2 linked regions of the Coturnix japonica genome follow. The protein of the gene in region 1 purifies or fractionates together with the protein of each later gene. This does not show direct contact. Links are inferred from orthologs where the notes say so. Each region holds a gene or a part of one and is shown on either strand. Other genes may lie near its edges.

Evidence for each region. The genes of interacting proteins can lie anywhere in the genome.
Region 2: the proteins of PTCD3 (region 1) and YBX1 purify together in Homo sapiens (co-immunoprecipitation; 4 studies listed by BioGRID and IntAct, with this or other methods). This does not show direct contact. The link is inferred for Coturnix japonica from reciprocal best matches to the Homo sapiens genes PTCD3 and YBX1.

The regions. Positions count from the first base shown.
Region 1 is NC_029519.1:77,494,791-77,500,805, forward strand, and holds part of PTCD3 (pentatricopeptide repeat domain-containing protein 3, mitochondrial), read left to right. Parts: coding exon 1-25; intron 26-710; coding exon 711-855; intron 856-1,358; coding exon 1,359-1,409; intron 1,410-1,730; coding exon 1,731-1,814; intron 1,815-2,143; coding exon 2,144-2,172; intron 2,173-2,651; coding exon 2,652-2,755; intron 2,756-3,051; coding exon 3,052-3,130; intron 3,131-3,217; coding exon 3,218-3,308; intron 3,309-3,544; coding exon 3,545-3,630; intron 3,631-3,725; coding exon 3,726-3,874; intron 3,875-4,314; coding exon 4,315-4,356; intron 4,357-5,200; coding exon 5,201-5,359; intron 5,360-5,650; coding exon 5,651-5,726; 3' UTR 5,727-6,015. UniProt on the Homo sapiens protein: Mitochondrial RNA-binding protein that has a role in mitochondrial translation.
Region 2 is NC_029536.1:5,559,188-5,565,302, reverse strand, and holds the start of YBX1 (Y-box-binding protein 1), read left to right. Parts: upstream 1-2,691; 5' UTR 2,692-2,867; coding exon 2,868-3,027; intron 3,028-3,371; coding exon 3,372-3,435; intron 3,436-6,115. UniProt on the Homo sapiens protein: DNA- and RNA-binding protein involved in various processes, such as translational repression, RNA stabilization, mRNA splicing, DNA repair and transcription regulation.

The sequences.
Region 1 (6,015 bases):
CCTGGAAAGATGGGAATTAATCAAGGTAAGCAGGTAAAGGAAAGGGCTTACAGTGCAGGGCCTGGGTCTGTGATATAAGCTTGCTGTTGTTCAGAGACTGATGCTGAAAATGAGCTTTGTAAGAAGATTGCAGTATCTTCTGCAAAGGAATTAATATTGGTTTAAATACCAACTGGCTGTTAAGGAGTGAATGATATATTAAATCTAACTTTGTCCTTGCAGAACAGTTTGTCTTCTGAGAACATACTGATCCAAGAACTGCCAAGCCAGAAAGAAATTGGGAAATTACGATCATAAATCATAATTATGATCATAGAATATAATGGGAGGTTTAAAAAACTAGGCTAAAAGCTCTTCTTTGACTTGTGACTGATTGTGTTGGAAATAGAATTTAGAGGAGTAGTAACATTAGAGGTTCCAGTACTAACAAGAAAACATCAGAGAGGAAGATCAGTTAGTAAGTTTAACAATTTCTTTGATATTCTGGTCAGAAGTCTCAAAGCTCTGATGTGATGTCATTTAAGTAATCTTTTCTCAGTTAAATTAATTAGAGTGAAGCAATACTCCCTGCAGTGGTTACTTGAGATAGTGTTGTTCGCTTGCAGGCTATGAAAAGGATTAGACTGGGGAAGTATATCTCTGCCTCCTTGAATGATGATAAACTGTGATCCATCATGTGTGAAGCACTAAGGGTTTACTTTCCTTTTAAGATGTTCTTGACTCACATGGCTCAGCAGGAAGTGCAACCAAATGTGAGAACTTTTAATGCTGTACTGAAGACTCTGAGAAGATGTGGTGGTGTAGGCAGAAGTATGGCCATGCCAGTAATGAAGGAGATGGAAGCACTTGAAATTGGTAAGAGAACCAGAAAGCCACAGCCAGAATGAAGTCTTTGGATGCTGTAGCCTCTTAAATTAGGACCATGTTTATTGTTAACCTAGTTACATCTAGGTCTTCAAGGACAGGTGGGCATGCAGTGGGCAGGTAGTAGTTGCACAACTGATTTGATATGTGGTGGAGGGTGATTTGCTCAAATAACAGCTTATTGATACACTAAAGGCATGTAGAGTAGAAAGCTAGGTACAAAACATTACTGCTGTTAAATTAGAGCAGGGAGTCTTGGCCACATGTCCCTTAGCAATATGATGCTCCAGCTGATTATCCGCTCTTAGACATTGTCTCTTCCAGTTGTAATTTTTGTAAAGGAGGTTTGGTCCATCGTTAGGGTCAAAGGGAGAGGGGTGATTGAGTAAATTATGGATAGTGCCTGACTAGAAGGCATGGAGACTGTGAATCAGAGCTTGGGCATAATGCTCAGTTGAGAATGTTGTCCTAATTTCAATCTTCTTGCTTTTCAGAGCCTAGCCTTGCAACGTATGATCATCTTCTCTCTATATTTTATAAAACTGGTATGTGCATTATTACCTTGTCTGCAAATGTATCTTGAGTAATATCTGGTTTAAATGCTTTCCAAATGCAATGGATGAGAGCAGTCGATTTATGACCTCACATAAAGGTGTGCAGCCCTAACATTGTTAACTACACTGATTCCACTTGAGTGAACAAAACACTACAGAGTAGAATTACTTCTTCAACAGAAAAAAGAATCCTTCAGAAAACTTATTTTCTTGAGTTGATAAAGGCTGCTCAGTCTTTGTGGAGGAGATTCTGTACCAACATAGTTGATAGTACAGCTGAGGTGTGATATTGCTTATTTGTTTGTCCCACAGTTGATCTTGCCCCATCAAGCATCATCTCCGAGGTGCTGGATGATGTTGAAAAGAGGAGCTTCACTCCCCAGGACCCTGATGATGGTATGAATTTCATCCTGTCTGACAGTCGGGTGTTAGAGGGGCAGTTGTAATGGCTTGGACAGCTGTGGGCGTGCTGAAGAGGTGGGTGACGTACCTCAACACCTGTCTTGGTGTTCTCTGTGTTCTCTGCCATAGCTCAAATGAGAACGTAGCTTTTGTAAAGCTGCCCAGGCCCAAACAGATCACCTGCATTGCTATATTGTCAAATTTAGCTGCACTTTCAGTTTCTAATTGAAAATGTTGTGTCTGTCTCTCAGGAGGGTGGGTTAGTGAGTTGCTGTGTGTCTTATTGAAAGCTGGAAACTAATGCGTCATTTTTTCCCTTTCAGCCAGATTTTTTACCAATGCCATGCAGGTGGTAAGTAACTCATCCCTACTGGACTGTCAATGAGTTTTCCAGCCTGTCATGTGAGATTTAGCCCTCAGCGTCATTCCCTTTTTCACCTGTGTCCATCACCTTCTGCAACCCTTCTGCATAATCCTGTGGTTTTTTATTTGATATTTCTCAGTTGGTAACTTGCCTGTTCATGCATTTCTTGGTACAAAGAGCTACACAGCTGCCTGTGTTCTGTGCCTGCCTCCTGCTTCTGGCAGCAGTCAGCCACCTCCACACCTGAGAATGTCAGTGTAGCTCACACAGCAGCTTTGGCTTTTGCCCAGAGAGAGAGTCACTCATTTGTCCCATGTAAGAAAAGTGCTTAGCAGTCACTGCACTGAATTGCGTTCCATTAAGGACGTTTGCTGTCAGACTGTTACTGGTCTGTGTGAAAGTGAGTCTTGGGAGAAAGTGTTAAGTGTTACACTTGGTATCTTTAACACCTGACTCATTTCTTGCAGTGCTGTGATCTTAAGGATATCAAGCTTGCCTATCGTTTAAATAAAGCAATGGAGAAGGGAGACAATTGGAAGTTCTTGGACATGGATCGCTTAAATTTGTACTGGTGAGTGAAGTGCATTCAACATTCAGCATCTTGAGTGTTGTGATCAATTTGAGGACAAACTGAGATTTGAACGTTACCTGCCCAGAGGACAGAGAGGAATGTTGTAGATCCAGCCCTTCCATCTCCTCAGTTTAGCTTAATCCCCATCCAACATTACGCCAACCAGAGGAATCTTTTACAGTCCTGTTATCCACGTAGGATGGCAGTTCAGGAGACCACAAAAAGTGGCTGTATCTCTGTTGTATGTAGAGATCACAGAGTACCAGATGTATTCAGAGCTGTTTTCCCTCTTGTAGGTCAAAATTCTTTTCGTTGTTGTGTATGATGGAACAAATTGATGTCGTGTTGAAATGGTACAAAGAGATGAGCCCTTCGGTGAGTGATTCCTACTGTAAGCTTTAAAGCTTTACAACACAGAACCAGTACGATTACAGTCCACTGAAGTGATTCTTCCTTCATCAGCTCTTCTATCCGAGTCCTAAAAACATCTTGGACCTCCTCCAAGCCCTGGATGCAGCCAACCACTTGGAAGTGATCCCTTCTGTCTGGGAAGGTTGGTGGGAGCCACATGGCTACGTGGGGTTATAAGCTGGGAGCAGTGCACAGTGGGAGGTGTTGGGGAGTACTTGGAGGTGCTCAGAAGAGCTGTGGTCAGATGCTTTGGCAAGAAGGATGTTATTCCTGAGATTCTTTGCCTATTCATTGCTTTTTAGGCTGGGGAGGCAAGAATGCAGATATGGTTTCAGTGTATAGAAAATATCCTACTGACTGCTGTCTGTATCACAACAGATATGAAACAGCTGGGGTTTAATAAGAGACGAGATCTGTTGGAAGAAATTCTGTCCTTGATGAGCAGGGATCAGCACCCTGCAGAGGTAAGGAAGCCCAGTAAGAAAAGAGTAAAAGATGTCTCTAAACACAGCTCTCCTGACCGGAGTTGTTTAGCGTTAACAATGTGATCCTTTCACAGGTCCAATTGGCATTTGCCAAGTGTGCAGAAGATATCAAAGCAGTCCATGAGCAATCTGGGAGAGATCAGGTCCCACTGGAATGGACGGGCAGTGCACTGGGCAGTGTCACTGTGGTGTTTTCCAGGGCTGGGAGAACCCAGGACGCGTGGTACGTGTGTGGCTGTCAGGAGCTCTTTGGTGATGCTGTAACTCAGGTGTAGAACAACTGATTTTCTACAGCTTCCCATTTCCTAATTTTTAGAACTCTTCACCAAACTCCTGAAGAGTTTAAATGGGATAATTAAGTTCTTAATTAGCCCTGGGTCTAATTAAAACTGAAGTGAATATTTTTAGAACCCCAAGATTTTAATGTGAACTCGTCACCAGTCACACTGGTCATTTGTTCTGTAGTATTTGAAGGTGTTCTGTGTTGCTGTTCAGTGACGTTAGGTGGTATGTGATGCATCTATAAGCATATGGTATTGGATGTGCTGGAGCTAAGGGGTGTCTCTAGGAAATAGAACTCACCTGTGTTTCATCTCGGCCTTGTCCCAGAGGTTTAACACCTGTCTATGCCTGTGTTTTGTTTTTGATTTTCCTTTTGAACAGGAGCATGATGGAGCGTTTCCAGCAAATCAATAGGATTCCCACGTGAGTACATCCGGGTTCTGACTCTGTGCACCCAGTCCTCTTTTGTCTGAGATCTTGCACTTCTGTTATGACTGATAATAGCAGACCATATCTGAGGGCAGCTGTTAACAGCACTTTGTGCTTGCCCTTTTCTGCAGCCTGGAAGGAGGACTTAAGGCTGCCAGGTCCCTTCAGAGCCCCTGACTCAGTTTGGGGAGTAGAGAAAGGAATTGTACCATGAGACTGTACCATGGCTGATAGTTTGTGGGTTGTGAATGTGAAAGGAAAGTTGTTTCCATGTTGTTAGAAATGGACTTAAAGGCTCTCTGGTTGCAGTATTCCCTGCAGTACCAGCTGTGAACACTTGCTTGCTTCTTGCTGAAAGGCAACAAATGTGCAGCAGCTGTACAGGTAACAAAAGAGCAGAGCCAGCACTACGACATGCAGTGGAGCTGGAGGAGCAGAGCTCTTTGTGCCCATGGACATCACAGCAGCAAAGACATGCTGGCCTGGGATTTTAATCACTGTTTCTGTACCTCTGCTGTCCACAGCGTAGGCCTCATGTGGGGGCTGTAAAGGGGGAAGGGTTACTTAGGCTGTTGTAAAGGTGGGGTCTTCATCCTGGGCAGTGGGCTGCTACCATCCATTTTTGTGCAGTACTGCTTTCTATATGGATAGGAGTTCCAAAGTGCATCATGTTGGTATGGGGTGAAAGCTGAGGTGCATTTGTAACAGCTCTGGCAGGAGCAGAATTAGGCTGCTTATGTCATTTGAAAAGTGTCCCCTCCCTTCCCACCCTAAGGCAGCCAATGGCCACCTCACCTGGGGCCCTGTGAGCCACCACCCTCTGCCTTTGCTCTTACAGTGACCTGGTGATGGATGAGTTCTTGAACTGTGCTAAACAAACCAATTCCCCGGAGGAGGCGATTAAGCTGGTGAAGCTGGCAGCATCCCTTGGTCTTCCTTCATCGCAGAAGCTTAAAAGCAGAATAGAGAAGGAATTTGAACTCTCTGAAAACCAGAAGTAAGTTGGCCTGCTTTATGGTATTGCTGTAGGGGTATAGTAGGCAGGGTGTTAGAGGGATAATTCCTGTGCAAAGGCTTCTCTGCTAGCACAGCTAACAGAACTTGCTTTCAGAATGATGATGTGCTTTTGTACTGACTGCTTCATCCACACCTCAAAAAATAACCCCTCTTGATGATGCTTAGAAGGGAATGAATGTGACCTTTCACTGTTTTGGATATCTTGTTTCAAGCAAAAGGTTCCAAAGGTTTTTTCAACATATTTTTTGACTCAACTGTTTAATATTTGCAGGAGGACACTGGAGAGCATCCAGTCAGACAGCGACAGCAGTGACAGCGACAGTGACAGCGACAGTGACAGAGACTAGCTGTCCTCCCTGCCTTCCCATAGGGAAAAGCTGAAGTGCTCTGGTGAGACACGTGCTGCTTTCTGGCTCAAGCAGCATTTCTCTGGGTCATCCTGGGACTTAAACCAGTGCTGAGTTCCTTCCATGCTGACTTCACTTAAATATGAAGTTCAGTCTGCATGTAAATGCTGTAAGTAATCGTTGTCTGTGGTGTTATTTCTCATCCATTTGGTGCTGGGACAGGCTTTGGAATGTAGAGGAAAAGCTGCCACTTGTTTCAGCCTCTGTACAGCTGGATGCTGCATCTAAT
Region 2 (6,115 bases), on another chromosome or scaffold:
GCGTGGGGAAGCCTTTCATATCTGCAGTGCTTCAAATACTGTTTGATGAAGTGACAGCATGGAATGCGATCACTCCTGGTGTTTGTAGGCTTTTGGAGATGGGGGCAGCTTTCTCAATAGGCTTCTTGCTGATAGAAAGAGCTGTGCTGGTGGGCTGGGTCCCCTTTAGGACTGTCCTTAGGCCCAGACCTGTTGGTCATTTTTCTTTGGAGCCTTTATGTGTGATCTCGGGTCAAAATCCAGCTGAATATCTTCGGTTCTAGGCATCTGCATTCTTCCTAGCCACACCTTAGGGAACATCTTTCTTCACACTGCTGCCTTTCAGCTGCCTCTTGACAGGAACGGGGTCCCTCCCCCCCAATTTCAGACAGTTAAATGAGTTATTTGTAAAGATCCTTTCAAATCAGCTCAGAGAAACTGGCAGTTTTGGTTATAAACCCAAAGCCAGTCGCAGGTGTCTGGACTGGAGACAGGTTTGACACGAGCTGGTGCAGCAGGTAGCGCACACTTCAGCACCCTGTGCTGCTGTTGTGGGATGCTGAAGGTGGCTGCTGAGCATCTGGGACTGTTTGTTCTCCTCTGTTTCAGTGCTCCGTTATGGGTGGACAGGCCTTTCCCAGCTCCACGCAGCTCCAGCCAGTATCCCCACTGTCCCGGTCCTCCTCACAGATGTGCTCCTGAAATAACTAAATAATTGGAATATATCTTCTTTTTTTTTTAAAGTATTGAAATGTAAATAAAGGATTTTGTTTAATATGTGCGTAGTGGATATCAGTAAACATGTTTGGGAGTGGATTCTTTAGGCAAAAAGGCCTGCTGCTTTCATTGTGCATTGCCCCGAGCTGATTCAGCAGAGAATGTTTCCCTTGTGTGGTGGTGAGAGACATTGCTTCAGGGCATTTGCTAAGGGGAAAGCAGAGATGAAAGGAACACACCTGAGCTGTGCTGCACCAGCGCTGCCTGTGGGGCTGCCCTGGCAGAGAAGTTCTGGGGGTTGTCCTGAATCTTTCTACATGTCACTTTATTGAAGCACAGGACAGGATCAAGGCATGATGGGCAGGGTTTTCTGGGCTCTGGGGTGAGTTTAGTTCTGCTGTTAGTCCTCTGGGCCAAAAGGCATCAGGTTCCTTTAAGCCACTGGTGTTAGAGGAATTAACATGGGTGTTAGAACGGTGTTAGTAGAAGGCATTTTGTCCAGCAAGCAGAGAATGAGCAAGCTGTAGAATTCAGGACTCAGAGTCATTACAGAGAACAGAGTTGAGGCTGAAGGTTTGTGGTAAACCTCTCATTGTCAGACTGGGATTGCAGGCTTGTCTGCTGGGCAGCTTGAAGTCACCCTTTGTGGGTGCTGGGCACCAAGGTGAGTTTCCCCTGCAGCACTCTCAGTCTGTGCTGTCACGTGCAGCTGTTTTGTCCCATCCCAACCTGCTCCTGGCTCAGCTCGATGCTCCATGAGCTTTGCCTGAGGTGCAGAGTGTGGGGCTGTCTGAGGGTGGTGTGGGCTGACGCTAATGTGTGATCCTTGTGGGCATGCTTTGGTGTCATCTTCTATCTAACAGCTGTTTAAAATCTACAGGACAGGCTGTGAGACTGCACAGCTGCTGAGAACACTTGCACTTGATTCTCTCCTGCTCAGCGTGTCTCACTTGTACATGCAGTACACTGGGTGATGAAGGAAACATAGCATCCCCATAGCACCCCCATGGCACCCCATAGCATCCCCACAGCATTGCCATAGCACCCCATAGCATCCCTGTAGCGTCCCATAGCACCCCATAGCATCCCTGTAGCGTCCCATAGCACCCCACGGCATCCCATAGCATCACCATAGCACCCCATAGTATCCCATAGTATCCCATAGTATCCCATAGTATCCCATTGTATCCCATAGTATCCCATAGTATCCCATAGTATCCCATAGTATCCCATTCTGGCTTTGCACGGCCAAGGTTTCTCCTAGGAGCCAAGGGCTGAACATTCCCCCACGGAGGATAAAGCTGGGCCCTGTTCCCATCTGTGGGTTATTGGTGAGCAGAAAAGGAGACGTTTGTGCTGATGGGACGCACCCAGATGCCACTTTGCCATATAAAGCACATATATCTGCTCCGTTTGACACCCGATGCATTGAGTATCACCCTCCCAGCTGTGATATTAAACCGGAGCCGGTTTAACCGCCCGTTCCCCATTGCAGTCACAGCCCGGGGGTGTCTCTGGGAAGCGGCTCATTAAACCCGGCTTTGAGCAGCGCTCAGAGCTGCGGCCTGGCTGTGAAACGGCCCAATTACAGGCGTGTGCCTCGAGGACACACCGTGCTGTAATGACGGCGGCTCCTGCTCCACATCCGGGCCGTCCCCGCGGCCCGTTGGCTCGTGTTACCGTCGGTCCGTTACGGACACACCGGGCACAACGGCCGGACCCGCAGCGCCGCGACCTCGGCCCCCTCAGAGCCGGCGACCAATCAGAGCTGGGAGGCGGGGAGAAAGAGTAGGCGGGAGGAAAAAGAAGCCCAGCAACCGCCGGCTGCGCGACCAATGGGAACGCGGGGATGAGGAAAGGCAGGCGGCGCGGCCAATGGGCTTTCAGGGAATGGCTAACGCCGGGAGGGGAAAGGCGCACGGGATTGGTTCGCAGAATGACGGGCGGGGCGAGCGGCCAATAGCGTCGCGCGCGGGCGGGGCGCGCGGGGTGGCTAGCCGGTGCGGGCCGCCATTGTGGCCAGTTCGATCGGTATCGGGAGCGGAGAGCGGAGCTCAGCGAGCCCGGAGCAGGGAGCAGCCCCCCCACGGCCGGCCTCAGTCACCATCACACCGCGGGAGGCGGCGCAAACAGCCAGTCACCACCACCGTCCGCACCGAACAGCCGCCGCCATGAGCAGCGAGGCCGAGACCCAGCCGCCCGCCGCCCCCGTCCCCGCGGCGGCTCCCGCAGCCAACAACGCCGAGTCCAAACCCAACGGCGGCAGCGGGAACGGGAGCGGCGGGCTGGGATCGGCGGCACCTCCCGCCGGCGGGGACAAGAAGGTCATCGGTGAGGGACGGGGGCAGCGGGGGGCGGGGGGGCCGTTCCCCACACAGCCTCCATCTCCTCACATCCACCCCCTCCATCTCCATTCCATCCCCTCCATCCCCCCCCCCTCACATCCCGTTGGCCGTTGATGCGCGCGCCCGCTCCCCTTTCCCGCCCCGTTCTCCCCCCCGCGCGCGCGCCGCTCTCCGCCGGGCCCCGCGTGTCGGGTGGGGGCGGGGCGTTGCGGCTCAAGATGTCCGCCACGCGGGGCCTTTGTGTGCGCCGCCCCGCCACGTGCCGCGCATGACGCCGCGCTCTGCTCGTCCTCCTTCACCCCCCCCCTCCCCTCTCTCTCTCTCTGCCAGCAACGAAGGTTTTGGGAACAGTGAAATGGTTCAACGTACGGAACGGTTACGGCTTCATCAACAGGTGAGCGGGGCGGCGGTGGGGGTGGGGGGGCGCGTGGGGGGTGGCGTGGCCTGCGGTATAAGGCCTTAACTGCTTCCCGGCGCGGTGCTGCGGGCTGTCAGTACGTTGTTTAAAGCTCGGTGTGAAGTTGAGGCTGTGAGGAGTCAGAGGGATTGATGAGCTTCAGTGAGAGTCATGAGCTGGGAAGGAGCAGCTGTGGGCATCAGCGCAGGCTGCTGAGGGGATATCTGCAGTGAGGGACCTGGTGGCCAATAGGGTGACTATAAACCAGGAAGGTTGTGTCTATAAACCAGGAAGGTCAGCAGCACCCCACAGTGTTGTTAGCAAGGTGAGGGAGGTTCTCCTCTCTGCTCTGCCATGGGGAGGCCACATCCAGAGCACTGGGCCTGGTGCTGGGCTGCCCAGTTGAAGGCAGGCAGGGAACTGCTGGCAGAGCACAGTGGAGGGCTGGAATGAGATCAGGGCCTGGAGTGTCTCCTGTATGAGGAAAGGCTGAGAGGGGATCTTAGCACTGCTTCTAAGGAACTAAAGTGCAGGAGTCAAGTCTGTGGGGGCAGACTGTTGTTGGTGGTGTGCAGCACAGAGCAAGAGGCAGGGAGTAGAAGCTGGAACACAGGAAGTTCCATAATAGCACAAGGAAGAACTTTACTGTCAATAGTGGAGCAGTCAGCCCAGAGTCGTGCTTACTTATCTACAGATGTTAAAGACCAAAGGATAATCACCTCTGTGACCTGTGCTGGGGAACACACCTTAGCAGGAGGTTGGGCTTGATCTCTAGAGATCCCTTCTGACCCATACAGTTCTGTGATTATGTGATGTCTAGGCCTTGAGAAACGTGCTGTCAGGCTGTTTTCTCTGCCAGCAGCTGATCTAGAGAACGGTTCTTCCCTCAGTCACTTTGGAGTGCCTGCAGGTGGTGGTGGTTCTGCAGAGCCCTGTTTTTCTATGTGGTGTTGTCATGGAACAGCCCTGGAGGATGTTCCTCTGCCGGGTACCTGGGATGCAGGAGGCCCCAGGGCAGCTCTGTTTCCTGCTGGAGTTCACTGCTGCTTCTCTCGTTTGTGACAGCACGTGGCTCTGAGGAGCAGGAAAGTGCTGTGAGCTCCATCAAGTTACCACGGTGAAGAAAGATACATGGAATGGGAGCTGGTGACTTCAAATCTGCTGTCACAGGGGTTGACAGGAGGAGGCTGGGGAATCCTCCTCCAGGGAAGCAAGTGTTGGTACTGATGTTTTCAGGAAAATTTGGCCTAAATGTCATCTTTTCATCTACCTGTTATACTGTGGCCTGGTCTTCATCCTCTGAGCTCTGACTGGTGAGCAGCTCTAAAGCCTGGCCCAGTGGTGTTTGAGTGTCAGGTGTCAAACAGCTGTTAGAGGAGCCCAGCAGCATCCCCTGCTCCTGGAGGTGCGTGCACAGCTCCAGCTCACTAACAGCCTCTGGGAGGGTTTTTTCCTGTTCCACTCATAGCTGCTACATGAGTCAAGTGTGGAAGCAGGAGCAGCTAGTTAAGACATCTGAATGGCTTCCCCGCTCATATTATATTGGCATCTGTTTAATCCCTGAGGATGCTGTTCCTAATGAGAAACACAGCGTGAGCTCCTGTTATCAAGAGATGAGAACTGAGCTGGAGCACATTTCCCCTGCTCCCAAATAGCTCAGGCTCACCACAAGGGAAGCCGCAGGAGCTTTGTTTGGGTCTGCTCGCAGCTCACGTTGGCTTTGGTTGTAGCCTGTTGTTGTATATTAATATTAAGTACGTCTATTATTCCCTTCTGAAATATTAGCTTGGATTCTGTCAGCTGTCAATGAAACAACTGAATGTGCTGGCTGTTGAGCTGCTCTTGTTGCCATAATTGGGGCTGCACACTGATAACTGGCTTTGTATTGACAGCTTTGCTGTGTTTTCTTAATCACCGCTTGCTCTTCTGATTTTTATTACTATTTTTAGTAAGAGGTTAAAGATACTAAGAGCATCGATGAGCTGAGTGCCTCACAATGGGCAGCTCCTGTTGTGCTTCCTGTCTTATTTACAGATGGTTATTCCCACACCATCCGTGTGGCAGCTCATGTGCTGCTCCTCGATGGGCTTAGTGCAGAAATCCCATGGCAGACACTGGGTTTTAGAATTAACCAGGAGGGTTCTGAACAAATCACATCTCCACCTTAATCTGCTTCAGTGTAACTGAGTCGTTTACTGAGCCAGAGCTCCAGCATGATCTTCAATGGGAAATGTGATGTAGAAAGGGCTCTAAATGAAATGAGGAGCAGCTGATGTGCTTGGAGGAATGGGGTTTGGGAGGAGTGCAGAGCATCCACACTTGAAGAGCTCTGCATTTGTTGGGAGCACAGTGAGCACTGACTGAATGCAGGCGCTGGGCTTCCCTCAAGGCCCTCAGCTGGAACATCTATGATCTCATGTTGTGTTTGTAAGAGTTTTAGGCTTTTTAAGAGCTTCTGGGTGCTGCCTGGTGGGGCTGGGGCTGAGCTGATCACCTTCTGTAGCCCTTTGGATGAACTGTTTTCCGTCAGCTCTGAGGTCAGTAGTTCTTGCAGGCGTCAGTTCCATAAGGAAATGGGTGTGTGGTGCTGGTACTGTGTGACGGGGCAGCTGTAACTTGGATCGAGTTGTTCACAGTATTGTTATTGCCGTGTGTTAAAGGCACGGGGAGGAGTGAC